Oreochromis niloticus: one gene and its partner. The protein of the gene in region 1 interacts with the protein of each later gene in a pairwise test. Links are inferred from orthologs where the notes say so. Each region holds a gene or a part of one and is shown in the gene's direction. Other genes may lie near its edges.

Region 1 (6,944 bases):
TGTGCACTTACGTTGATTTATGTGTGAGGATTGTGATTATGTTTTTTCACATGGAGAACTTTTTACATTAATATAATTCCACAGACATCGCTCTTCCTTGTGTTGTTGCTGCTAACCCTTCCCCCTGGAGTTCACAGATGACATGAACTGAGTATGCCTTTCCTGACCTGCTGTCCGTCTACACTAAGTGGTGCAAGACCAAAGCCAGGAAGATTATGAAGGATCTCTCCCATCCCAACAATGGACTCTTCTCACTGTTGAGGTCTGGTAAGTGCTTCCGCTCCCTTAAGGCCAAAACAGAAAGAATGAGGAGCTTCTTCCCTCAGTCCCTGAACCAGCTGTAGGAACCCGTCTCTCATTACTGTCCATCAGCAACTGTTACTCTGCACACTGTTTATTTACACACTTTTATAGTTTCTTAAGTTTGTTAAATTTACACATTCTATTTTTGCTTTTTTATTTATAAATTTTTTATTTATTTTTTTTTACCTTCAATTTTACTGTAAATTTCAAATTTTTAATTTGTAAATTATATAAATTTCTTGCTAGTTTAGTTTTATGTCTATGTTTAGTTTTTTATGGTCAGGCATTGCACAGCAACAAGCCTTTTACTGCATGTCGTACTATGTATGATTGTGTATGTGACAAATAAAATTTGAATTTGAATTTGAATGCCCATAAATCAATGACCTCCATTTCCACTGTGCTGTCAACTTTCAGAGCATCTCTGGTTTATCAGCCTCATCACAAAGGAAGAGGATGAAAGAGACACAATGAAGTGATAAATATGATAGATGTTGAATCAAACATTACAAACAGCATGTTGAAAAGAAACAGAGAGGAGAGAAAAGGGTCTGAACACAACAGAAAAGAGACAGAAAAGATGTCTGCAAGAGAAAAAATACAATCAGTGGAAAGATGAGCAGAATAGTCGAGAGAAGCCAGAGAGCCAAGAGAGTGGAATAATCCATGTGTTTCAGTATAATTTAAATCCATTAAAATATGTTAACAACAATATCACATAAAAATATTAATAATAATATTACGTTGTCATATTAGTAAATTAAAGTTACATTTGTAGAAATGCCACTTTTTGACTGGCCCAATTTTGCTGATTAGCTGTCCTATTTTATCTAAAAACAACTCAAAAATGTGGGATAGCTGATGTTTCAGTTGCTGTATGGCCTCAACAGATCAGAGCGACCTTCTGATATTCAAATTAGGCACCGAATGGGAAATGAAAAAAGGGACTTTGAAAGTGGCATGACTGTTGGTGCCATGCAGGCTGGTCTGAGTAGTTTAGAAACTACTGATCTGTCATTTTTCTGTGGTTTACATTGTAAAGAAAGAGAGAAAATATTCAGTTCGTGGCAGTTCTCTGGGCAAAAATGCTTAGTTGATGCTAAAGGATGGGGGAGAGTGGCCAGTTTGTTTCGAGCCCAAAGGAAGGCAACAGCTAACAAATATATGAATATATGAAATGAAAATATGCAGAAGAACATCTCTGAACATGCAGCCTGTTGAACCTTGAAGCACATGGAGCTCAGCTGGTGACCTGAACCAGCTAACTATGATTTATCAAAAAGGAAATCATAATCTTAAAGATAGAGGGGCCCGGAAGCTGAAAGCTCTGCTTCCCATTCTGCTTTTAAATACCGTAGAAACCTCAAGTAATCCTGCAAGAGCAAAGTGCTCTATTGGGTACTGTTGGGTCTGTGTTTCCACAAGCCCCGCTGGTTTAGAGACTTATTTGTCATGAAGAAAACAAGACAGTCAGCGATCGATCGATTTACTTGCAAGGGAGGCCTCGTCTGTGTCTACCACGAAAATGACCCCAAATCCGGCCTCCTCTCGCTGCCTTTTATTGGGAAAGCAGTTCACACAAAACACATCACAGCAAAGCAACGCCCACATGGTTCTAAGACAAGGCACTGTATGTATATGTGTGAACTTCTGTATGTATGTAAGAATGTGTGTGTGTGTGTGTGTCCTCCTGCTGGGCAGGAAGCTTACATCAAAAAGACCTTCACAAGGATGTGTCTGTAATAAAAGACTACAGCCCCCCACCCAGAGCCTCGAGAATCTGGGGGGAAGGACAGAAGAATTCCTTTCATCACAGAGTTAAAACAATGTAGAGATGGTAAGCCTAAAAATGACAACATTTAACAATTCACTCTAACAGGTACTATGATTTTTTTTACTATAAGATGGGACCTGATTATTCAAGACCTTGTATGTGATGACAAGGGTTTTAAATTCAATTCTGGATTTAACAGTTTTACTGGAGACTGGAGGAAGATAATGAAGAGGACGCTCTAATTGCTGTAATAGAATATTATGGTCAAGAGGCTGACGGCTGCACTGAGGTCTGCCAGGACAAGCACAGAGATGAGTCCACTGCCAGAGGCCATAACAAGATCATTTGTAACCTTGTTGGTTGGATTTTAGACTTTTTAACTGACAGATCTCAGTGTGTGAGAGTAAACATCTGTTTTTCCAATCAGCTGGTTCACCACAGCGTTGTTTTCTCTCTCCCCTACTGTATATTTTGTACACTAATGACTGTCGTAGTACACAGGTTAAAACGCATTTCATTAAATATGCAGATGACACAGTCATTGTAAGCGTCCTTCATGGTGAAGAGTATTCCCATGGGCCTGTTGTGACATGAGCCACTGGTGGATCATTATAAGTATTTGGGGGTTGTTCTTGACAAAGCTCTGTCCTTTGAGTCACATTTTGATGCTACAGTGAAAAAGGTCCAACAACAACTGTACTTTTTAAGGTGATTGAGAGTTTTTAACGTTTCATCTGAAATGATGACCCTTTTTATGAAAGTTTTATTGAATATGCTCAACTGGTCTCAGGTCCAGTTTGTGGTCTTTTCTAACAGCCTGGTGCTGAGGAAGGCAACCTCTGTCATGTTATGTTCAGACCGTCCTCTCTTTAGAGACTTTCAGCTGCTTGGTATGAAGTGCTGTAGTGAAGACCAAGAGACATCGAGTGTCTTTTATACCTGCTGCTATTGTCATGTTTAATAACACTAAACCATAAGCGTTGTTGCCATCACTGCTGCACATTGCACTTTGTTGATGCTACTGATAAAATTTGGGATGTTCTCTCTTTTTTTGTTTGTTTGGGGTTTTTGTTTTCGATGTGTGGACATACTGCAAATCAATTTCTCATTAGAGACAATAAAGTTACCTTTGACACTGACCTTCACTAAATCTTTTTAGGTTTTGTGATGAGCTCTGAAACCTGACCCAAACTCTTCAAATCTGCAGGTGATCAGTTAGCTTACAACTGCTCTTTCAAGAATTTGGTAAATAAAAGGTTGGAGATTGGCCTACAGTTAAAACAGCTGGGTCTTTTAAGTTATGGTTCAACTACTGCCAGCTTGAAGGCCTGTGGTACATATCCGATTAATAGAGATCATGTTTAAGATTAAAGTATTAATTAATTGTACAACTTCCTTTAGTAGTCTTGTGGGAATGGGGTCTCAAACACACTGAAACACACTGGGTGCCACTCCTGACAGCAAATATCAGGAAACTGAGGCTATAATTGGCACGAGCTTACCAAAATTGGACAAAAGCACACAGGAAAAACATTTCCTGGATTGGATTCCTTAATACCCAATAAGCGTTCTTTAAACACTACAGTCTGCTATGTCCATCCCTTTATCATCTTCTGATTGCTGGAAAATTTCACAAACCTCAAATTATCTCAAACTGATTCCTTGAAGAAGGCAGTGAGTTCACTATACACAAATGGAGGTTCCACAATCGCCAGACCTCAAACCATTAGCGGACTTTTGGCATGTGGGTGGAACAGGAGATTCCATCTTGGATGTGCAGGTGACAAATCTGCGGCAGCTGCACGGTACAGACCAATATCCCTGAGGAGTATCTCGTGTGCCTAATTCAGTGGTTGGTGAGCGTGTGTATTTCCTGTAGGCGTGTCTGATCTGAGCAGTTTTTACTTCTCTATTTGGCCGCTCCGCTTGTTTAGACCAACACCGAACTTAGATTAACTGAAATCTGCTGGAGAGATGAGTTCTTTCAGTGATGAATCTTTCGAGGACTTGAGTGACGAGCTTGCGAGTCTTGGGTAAGGCCGGGTTGGGAATTATAAACAGCTTTCACCTGTTTGAAAACGGTAAACTGCTAGAAGCGATACTTTATGTGATTCTTCACCACCACGATTTTATGATCATGATAAAAAGCAAGACCATCGCTTTATACCTCTGTTGTTACACATTAAACGCCTTTTACAAAGAGCTAACTCGTTTGTCTGTATTTGGACATTTTCAGTTTCTCTGTCTTGTGCTGTAGATTTTGTTAGGAATGACAGGATCTGCTTCTTAAATCAGTGTTTTGTGAAACTGTGAAATTGAAATCTACAAGAATTCTAACTTACTAACATAAATGATTACCATATAACGTTTTCTAAAAGCAAAATTAAACAGCTGCTCCGTGTTAACAGATTGTTACGTAAGTTATGTGTACACTTGTAATTTACTTTGCAGCAGGGGAATATTGTCAGTTGTAACGTGCCAAAAACAAGTTCCAGTACCGACTCACTGTGCAGTCTATTAACACTTGCTCAGCTATAAATTCTCTCCGTGTCGCGTTAATGTTTTGTAGATGTTGTGATCTCTCCTGCGCGTAAACACTGCACGCTGATCAAACTCAGGACAATACTTGCAATTCCAAAAGAAGCGCCATGGAGAGATGTCCAGGACTGTCCGTTCCGCTCCTTAAAGCAGTTTGTTTGTTTGTTTGTTTATTTGATTTACGGAAGTCGGGTGCTGACAAAATCGCTCCGATTTAAAGCCGCACAGAACTAAACTGCGCCCGAGACTCAACTCCGAAAACACGCAGCTGGTATTTAACGGTTACGGTCATACTGCCCTAATAACTTAATGACTCTATCATGGTATGTTCTAATGTTGTTGATACTTTGGTTTTATTGAGGAAGGACAAATATAATATTAAACCACAGGATGCTGTGCGCTGTGCTTATATATTTCACGAATTGTTACAGAAGCTTTCCATAAACGCAACAAATGTGAAAAATTCCAAATCCACAATCCTCTGGATGTATCCACAGACTGCTCTGACAACTGAGGTCTTACTATAAATGCACTGAATAAAGTCAGTATGGAGTTTGTGGAACAGTCTTATATGATACCACAATAACCCTGCAAACATCCATCCATCCATTCTCTTTCACCTATCGTTGTCAGGGAGGCAGAGGGCTACCATAGACACACAGAGAACCACTTACACGCCCATTAACATCTAACCACACTAACTACATCTTTAGACTGTGGGAGGAAGCCAGAGTACCCAGGGAGAGCATGCAAACTCCACACAGTAAGACTCTGGCCAGATGGTGCATTTAAACTCAGGACTGCCACCCTGCAAACAAGAAATACAGAAACTTAATGTTCAGTTTGGAATTTAAACTGATACTTTAATTCTGCAGCTGGTTTTAAAATATGATCAGAACCCTTTAAATCTAGCGTTTTTTCTCGAGCTGTTGCCTTCAGTGATATTTTTAAACAGTCCCAGCAACTTTTAATGCAAATTAAGAACTTTCACATCCTTTTACCAGTTCCCTTTATATTTCCATACAGTCTGAGGTGCACAGTACTGCACAGATGACCTTGAATCATAACATAAGCCTGTTCTTTAACATAATTTTGCACAACAGTGTAAAAATCATACAGGTTCTGCATATGAGACAGAAGTCTCAGCATTACACTTTCCTAATAAAAGTCAGTATTTTAATTCAGAACCTAATCTTCAGGAAAAATGTTAGATGAAGCCCATGAAAGATTATTTTAACCTACATTTTTATACCAGGCTTAATTCCAGCTTCACTCTCTGTTAAAATAAAAATGGTCACATTTTAACTCACAAATGTCACGTATGGTTGTGATATGGAGAAATAACATTAGTGTTGTATGTAAAAGTTTCAGTATGTCACACTGAGCAAGCAGCTTTAGGTCCCAAATAAGTTTTTCTAAGTCTTTGTAAATTGAGCACAAGCTCAGTTGATCAGTGTCCATGCTGTTATATAAAGACTACTGTTGTTTCTGTTGAAATATTAGAAATTGATTTGACACAGAATGAATTGTAGCTAGAAGATGGGCCGCACGTCAAACTGTAGATAAAAATGAGACCTTTTATATCATTTCTCTAACGATGGTTTTATTTCTTATTTTATAAACTTCTCACATCATATTACTATTGTCTTGAAGGTGGTACCACTATGACCTGTCCCGCCATGCTGCAGAGGCCCTTCTCTTGTCCAATGGGACGGATGGAAGTTACCTCCTGAGAAACAGTAATGAGGGACCAGGCTGCTTCGCCCTGTCTGTTAGGTGAGTGAACGAGGGAAGTGCACCATGGGTTTGGAACCGTAACAGGCGATCAGTGACAAAACAATGATGTCACAACAGATGCAGAGTTATCTTACCTGATTATAACTTTATTTTTTACTTTTAGTTAAATTTGCCTTGTTCCTATGTCTGCTACGGTTTTATTTCTCACTGGTGTGTATAGTATTAACAGAGTCACCAGATCCCCTTAATGTTGAGGTTAAAGGTTAGAGTTTTTCACCAAGTATTCTAGTATTAGTCACACTAAGCGTGTGTGTGTGTGTGTGTGTGTTTGAGAAAGACAGAGATGTGATACTGAATCAGTGATACTGAACCACCTAGAAACACTTTGTTAAAAAGAAGTATGTGAATCTTAACAATGATGAAGAAAGGAAACACGAACTTGCTATATTTTTAAGCTAAATATGCACAGGTCTGTGTTTAGTGTACTTTTACTTGTGAATGACTTGAAACATTTATGCTGTTTATCATTTGACATAGGGCAAAGGATTCAGTGAAGCATTTTCAGGTGACACGAAATAGCAATGGCTATGTG
Region 2 (7,797 bases), on another chromosome or scaffold:
TCAGTCAGTCTGTAGGTGTACATTTAACAACCTGTAAGAGAAAACAATATCACAAATACTCATTTTATACACACAAATCTTTTTGAAAGCAAACTGATCAGATTTTGTGAATAAGAACTCTTTATTCAGGTTGTTATACGTGTATAGATGAGTACTCACAAATGCATGCAGCAAAATTATGCGTTTGCACACATTTCATTGCACACCTGTAAATATTAGGTGGTTTGATCATCAGATCATACACATCTATGATTCTTTTAGATCTGTGGTTCCCAAAGTGTGTGTGTGTGTGTGTTTCCAAACCAGGTGAAGGTGCCAAGTTAGGTCTCCCCGACAGAATTAGTTTCCCCTGCGTTGGGAGCACACGCTGGGCTGTCCATATCACGGACAAACAGTATCCCACAGTTATGTTTTTAAACCCATTTTGCACAGAGAGGCATTTTTTGAAAAATGTATTGATGGCAATGTTGAATATTATTACACAGGAAAAAAAAACTACACCTAAAATAATGACAACATAAAGATGGTTTGTTTTTCTGTTATTTCAAAGAGGTAGCAGTTTATTTTATTGCTACCTGTAATTTATTGCAATTTACTTATATTTGTTTAATTGTTTACAAAAGGTTTGAGGTGTGAAATAAACAAAATATGGGTGTGTGTGGTTGGAGAATGTGTTTGTGCGGGGTGGGGGTTCTTGTAGAACAAAGGGGGGCCTTGCAAAAAAAGTTTGGGAACCACCTTCTTAGACTAATTTGTATGTTTTTGTGTTTGTACAAACTCTTACCTGAATGATTCTTTATCTACAGCCAATAAAACAGAAGACCAGCACTTAACTGAAGCAAACAGACTGATTTGTGTTATTGAGCTGTTCCTGAAATTTGCAGGGCTGTTGCAGTATCACATTCTCAAAATCTGAAGAATTCCCTATAATGAATTGTAATAATGAATAATTCATTTAAATTATTGCGTTATATTTAAAATGTGAATGTCCATAATCATTATTTAATTCTACCAACAATAAAGATCTAATGAATCTATTTTGTCTTTGTTTTGGTGCAATGATGCCATGATGGGACCTGATCTGACTCTTCTGTTCACAGGTCGAAGGTAAACCTGCAGGAGACAGGAACCTGCACCAGGGAAGCATCGTGAAAGAACAGCTGGGCCTGCTGGGAAAACTCAGGTTACTGGAAACATGTGGCCAATCTGAAAGGGGCGACTGATTCATCAATGACCTTAAAGATGATCCAAATCAAAGAGACTTTCTGCTGAACAGTTCCTGTTCTGACATTAAAGGATGAATCAGTATGTTTACTGAGTCTGGTTGTTTGATTACACCGAACGATCAGTTCATGACTTCTTTTATTTCAGCAGAATGATGTAAGCTTTACAGCCCATTGGATTCAAATTAAAATTTCTCCCCTCCTACATCCAGTCTGAGAGCTGTGAATACAAATACCATCATACCTGTAACTGATGTGTGAGACATGCTGTTTATCACTCTGTATGGTTTATAATTATTTAATTTCTTTGTCTAACAAGGGCACGTTTCAGTTGTTAAACATTCAGTCTGCACTTCACTCTTAGAGAACTACTGATTGCATTTTGCTGGTTTTATAAAAACTTGTCCACATCCTGACACAAACACTACAATACTACACAAAAGTAAAAGCACATTTGGGGTAATGCAACAGCAGCTGACTGCCTTTGACCATAATAGCACACGTGACAGCAACATTAGCAATGCTGCTGCAGACACGTGGAAGCAGAGCATGGATCCAACAGAAGAAATCATCACACAGAAACTTAACCACAGCTTTATGTGCTGCAAAAGGCAAAGCAACAAAACTGGAACAAAGCTGACTTACAGGCTAACAGAAGGTTAGCGGCTCACGTACCATGAGGGAGCTCACAACAGACAGCAAAGGGAGACGAAGAAAATATACACACACGAGGGAACATGAAGGAACAGCTCACAGCTGACACTAATCCAGAGTACTGAGACAAAGGAAGCAAAACTGATCATTGCAGACACTAGGCAGGAGACTATCGAAATAAAACAGGCAAACAACACCCTGAGACACAGGGACTGGGAATCAGCGGATTCAGATAAACGCAGGACCAAACCCATACAGAGAACCAGAACACCAACATCTCCCCAGCCCCAAAACACTGAACCACAGTAAACTCAAAACGCTCAAAGACTCAGGACCATGACAAAACGTACTTGGAGACAAACTCCATCCCACGTCACTCATGGTGCTGGTTGTGGAGGTAAGTCAGCTCACCAAGGTGTGTATTCTTACACTGATGATGACGATGATAATGGTGGACAGTTCCAGCACTGAATTCCTTTAATATGTCCCTGTACTTTGTTATTGTCTTCTTTTGCCTTTTCAAATGAATTTACTGATGATGTTCTTTACAGGAACATTTTAACTTGTTTGACTTAAAAAAAATAATATTTCATATTTACTTGAAATGATCTGACCTTTATTTGCACATTGGATTTTTAAAAAAAGACAAAAGAATTTTAAAAAAAATCTACACAATGACTCAGTTTTGAGGTCTTTAGGTTTGTAGAAACGATCTTACAGCTGAGTGTTAGAATGTAGGTGTCCTGTTGAATTCAGTGTGGTACATGTGAGTCTGATAAATGTGTGACAGCTACAGGTAAGCTTTTAATTTGTCCACTCCTGCTCAGTGGGTGTGGTCAGCAGAGATCTGAAACCTGCAAACCAAGGCCCAACCGCTGGTATCATGTTTGAGTGAAATGATTGGCTGACCTACAGTGGGATGATAGTAATGTTCGTATATCATGTCAGATTTAAGCTGATTCCATGTTACTGTATAAAGAGATTTAAATACATCTCCACTCGTCTTTTCAGATGACTTGATGTGTGACAGAATAGGTTCAAATACATGACTGTAGTTACAGTTGGCCTGTTGTTTCTTCTTCTTTCAGCTGCTCTCTGTAGGGTCGCCCACAGTGGGTCATCACCCTGTTCCTCACCCACTGCATGCCCTTCATCACTGCATCCACGAGCCTCCTCATTGGTCTGCTGCTTTTCCTCATTTCTGAGAGCTCCATTTTCTGGATCCCTCTCTTAGTTAATTAAGTTATTTTAAGCAGATGAAAATCTGAAAAGTGTGGTGTGTATTCAGCCCCCTGTGCTCTGATACCCTTAAGCAAAATCCAGTGATATCAATTGCCTTCAGAAGTCACCTAATTAGACAATCAAGTTCACCTGTGTGTAATGTAGTCTCATTATAAACACACCTGCTCTGTGAAGGCCTCAGTGTTTGTTAGAGAACATGAATTTGACAGACAGCTCAGGGACGAAGCTGTAGATATTTTAAGCAGGGTTAGTGTTGTGGAAGTTTTCCATTTAAATAAAGCCTGCAGACGAGCGGTAGCTAACATTCTTTAATCAAACACAAAGAACAGACAAACCAAGCTTGTGAAGAGCCTGCATGATCGCGGGGCAGACAGTCAGCAGAGTCTCCCAAGCCTAACATGGCTCTCAGTTAAATGCCTTCTTCAGAAACAAAAGGCAGTACACAGCTGTTTCACACCTTAAGGTTCACACTCCCTTGCTACCTCCCAGAGTCCTCAAAGAGACAAAAGATTCTTCCTGTGGAGTGGTCTGCTTCCCCCAACTTCCTTCTTACAGTATGGGTGTCAGACATGTTAAAATCCAGTGGCACCAAGGCATTATACAATAAAATAATGTGATTAATACACAAGTAAAAGAAATTCCTATACAGTTAGGTTATAAAAAATATCCCAAGCTTTGAACATCGCTGTTCAATCCATCATCCAAAAATGGTAAAAGAGACCAAAGCTGAATGATTTGGGCCTAAATGCAAAGAGCTACATGTTCCAGAATAGTAACACTGCTCATCACCCTGAACGTACCGTCCCCACTGTGAAACATGGTGGTGACAACATCATGCTGTGGGGATGCTTTTCAGCAGGAACAGGGAAGCTGGTCAAAGGTGATGGAAAGATGGATGGAGCTAAACACATGGCAGAAAACCTGTTTATGAATATGATACAATTATGGCAACACGGTGGTGCGGTGATCAGCACTGTCCTGAGTACTCTCTGATGCTGTAGGAAAAGGTGTTTTATTTTAAACGCACATATAGTGCAGGCATATATAGATCGGTGTTACAGTTATGTCAAAATCTACAAAGATGCATCAAAGAAGACAGCCGACCAAAGCAGGATAGTATTTATTGTTCCTGAGTTTCATGTCAAAGTAAGGAAAAGGATCAGTGACAGTTTATTAGTGTACAGAAATGGTTTCAGTACTGTCAGCTGTCCAGTGGACTGAAGACTCAAGACCATTAAGATCGGTGATATGCTCAGACTCAAGTTCATCATTGGCTAGTTTGCAAGACAGTGACTCAGATAGCAGGCCAGACATTCTGAAAGAGGTTCAGCAAACACTGTACAGAGTCAGAGAGATGGGGCTTATCATCACCACCTTATGGGTACCATGGGTATCAGTGAATTGGTTATCAGTGTTAGCAGGACAGATAATACGGCAGAAAATGGAAGAAAGGTGTCAAAAGCAGTGGGAGGAAAACCTGTTTTAATGTCAGAAATATGACGCTGAAAGAAGACAGCTGATCCAGAAGCTCGGTGATCTGAAAGTGAAAATGGACTTGGTTGATGTATTTTTAAGAACTCGAGTATTATCAGGCCATATTTAGTTTTTTAAGACACACTCATTCTCCACACCAGCAGGGGGCGGTAATGCACCATTGTGCTGTTTGGCAACCGCCAATAAATGACGAAAAAGAAAGAAAGCAGCAGCAGAAGAAGAAGGAGAAGAAGCGTTGGCTGTCAAAACACTGGGAGTATTTGTCGGACCGTCAGTAAACCATGCGTTTGTTCTGTAAGACACCAGGGATTTATTCACACATGTGTCAGTTCGCGAGCACACAGTTCAGCATGCTGACACAGCAGAGGAAGAAGGATTTGGCGAACCAGGTACGAGCTGAGTCTAGTGTGACTGTACATGATGCTAATGTTAGATACGAGCCACACTGACAGTGTCCTTTATGTCCACTGTAGTTTTGGAGATTATCTCACCTCCCGGGGCTTCGTCCGTTCATTAACCACGCGCTGCATCCCGCCTGCCGGCCTTCACACAGCGTAAGTTCAGCTTTTACTCGGTGGTGATGGGTTTAAACTGTAACATACTTAATGACGGTTTGTAGTTATCACCGAGCCTGCTTCACCGCCATCTCCAGTTTATCTTCAAATGTTTGGTCTGGTTTTTACAGAGAGGCACAGAAATGGTCCCTCCACACACACACACACACACACACACACACACACACACACACACACACACTAAACCGTCGTCACTATGTAACAAATTAAGATGAATTGTATCAAATTAAAACACAACCTGTTGTGAGGCCTGTTTAAACTCTACATGGACATCCTCACTGTTCTGCACTCCGTCCTGACTGAAGAATTGTTCAAATATTATTACTTCTATAGTTGAATATTATCACAAATATTTACTGTTTGCTGGTGTAGGAATTTTCGAACCATCCCTTTAGGAAAAGAAGCAATAAAACCCTCAAAACACCTCAGTACACTATAAACCATATTAATGGAAAATTCGCTTAAATGATCAATATCTCAGTCGATCAGTTGTCTTATTGTGTGTTGTAATACAATAAACATCCTCTTTATTGCATGAGTGTGTAACTGTCGGCATTCTTGCATCTGTTTTTGAACAAATTTTTGACAAGCCTGTGAAATACTGGGAGAATACAGTCTGGTCAGATGACACCAAAGTTGAACTCTGCCAGATGCTGCGAGAATGGCTCAGCCAATCACCTGACCCGAATCCAACTGGAAAATCTATAGAAAGTTCTGATGCTCAGAGTTCTTAGAAGGGCCCACAGAACCTTTGAAGAAGTAAACAAAGTTTAATAGAGAGGCTTACAGTTAGAATTAGCTTATGTCTCAGTCCGAAATCAGGGAGGGCCTTGCACCTCCAAATTCAACACTTTATTAAGCATAAAAGTACGTGTCACAAATGTTTCACATTGATTGATTTCATGATCTGTCTTCAAAATGGAAAATATACGAACTATAAAATTCAAAGTTGGCCATAAATACTCTACAAGGTGCATAATTGTCAGAAACCAGCTGAGCATAAAACTGGACTAAGGAGAAGAATAATTAAATAAGTTGTTGGACTTTTCTATTTCAGTGGTTCGGGAGCAGAATTAATGGTTGCAGGTGGAGCAAAACCATCTACCTGAATTCACCAAGTCAGAAAAAAGTCACCCTCGTGCATGTAAGGTAACCAATATTTTAATTTTTGTTTTTCTCCTTAAGCATTGCTTAAGCTTTGGCTACTTGAACTAATTTATAACTTTCCGTCATTCTCTAAAAGTGAACTGTCTGTAGCAACATATGAGAAGCTGGTCGATGAGACACTGGATGCTCTGGCTGATTACTTTGAAGACCTCACCGATGAAGCTTTTACTGGGGCAGACTATGATGTTGTCTTCTCTGTAAGTCACTCTATGGATGTTGTAAAGGTTGCTAACTGTAAAGTGAACTTTAATCGTAGCCATAATAAATGATGGCAGAATTATCTAAATGCTTATTTACAGAAACTAAATGATGAACATACAATTAAAGTAGGGCTGCCACAAACGATTATTTTGATAGTCGACTAGTCACCGATTATTTTTGCAATTAGTCGACTAATCAGATCAGGCATGCACTGGACGTAACATGTACAGCTTATTGCACCAGCATGCGTCTGCGCTTATATAACTATCATTAGCTTACAGCTTTAAGTGTTTCAGGTATGTGCTAACTAAAAATAAAGACAAGACGATAGTTTATTAAACTTTTAACGAAATTTGCAGATTGTCTCGGTGGAGTTTAATAAACTCAGCCGTCTGCTCCTTGCTATCTAAATATAACAGGACACTGGAGTAAACTCTCGACCATCTCACACTGCTGTTTAATCAGTTTTCTGTTTGACTTTTATTCAGCTGTGTGAAAACTATAACTTTAATCTCAGCCAAACCGATTTATTCAGGAACAAATAAAATACTGAAAAAAGCCAAACAATAACATTTTTAAGTTATCTAAGTGACTTGTATGTGACTTGTTTAACCTGACTAACCAAAGACCGCGGGGGGTTTCAAAACGATGTGCCAGGAGTTCGCTGTTATCGCCGTCTCTGGTGAGCCTTGACCTCCCCGTCAGCTCGTCTCCAAAGACGTCAGAGCACTTTTGCAAATATGTGATGGCTCGATAAACCGAGCAGATATTTGAAGTTTACACAGCTACCTTCTTGCCTGAGAATATCTTAGAAGTTTTATTTTGTGAGTAATAAGAGTAATATTAAAACTAAGTTGGAAACTTAGCTGTTGGACAGTTGTTGGAACTAGAATTGGTTTGGCCGCGCTATGAATTCTGGGATAGGTTGGGGATCACGAAGGATACACCCGACCCATCCTTCAAATCTGAGGAAAAGGAGGACTCATTTGTCGGCCGCATTTGGAGGAGTCTACAAATTTGGACAGCCTTCGTCGTGTTGCTGTAACGTAATCGCTGTACAAATGCGGCCTCCGAAGGATGCAGCCCCTGAATTTGGACACAGCTACGATACTGGAGACTGCTTCTTCTTCTTTGGTGTTTAACAGCAGCTGGCATCCTTGTAGATGTTCTGTTTCAGTCCGTTATTACACCCTTAAATCCTACAACTTATTCCTGCGTCTTTCAGGATCTCACAAAGCTTC

Evidence for each region.
Region 2: the proteins of dapp1 (region 1) and fxn interact in binary tests that used the Homo sapiens proteins (3 or more experiments, as listed by UniProt). The link is inferred for Oreochromis niloticus from reciprocal best matches to the Homo sapiens genes DAPP1 and FXN.

Annotation. Positions count from the first base shown.
Region 1 is NC_031983.2:3,065,809-3,072,752, forward strand, and holds the start of dapp1 (dual adapter for phosphotyrosine and 3-phosphotyrosine and 3-phosphoinositide), read left to right. Parts: upstream 1-3,926; 5' UTR 3,927-4,051; coding exon 4,052-4,110; intron 4,111-6,268; coding exon 6,269-6,391; intron 6,392-6,889; coding exon 6,890-6,944. UniProt on the Homo sapiens protein: May act as a B-cell-associated adapter that regulates B-cell antigen receptor (BCR)-signaling downstream of PI3K.
Region 2 is NC_031977.2:4,559,987-4,567,783, forward strand, and holds the start of fxn (frataxin, mitochondrial), read left to right. Parts: upstream 1-4,790; 5' UTR 4,791-4,894; coding exon 4,895-5,002; intron 5,003-5,086; coding exon 5,087-5,167; intron 5,168-6,245; coding exon 6,246-6,337; intron 6,338-6,431; coding exon 6,432-6,552; intron 6,553-7,797. Other genes in the region: hmgcra (3-hydroxy-3-methylglutaryl-CoA reductase a), read left to right, coding at 1,101-1,152.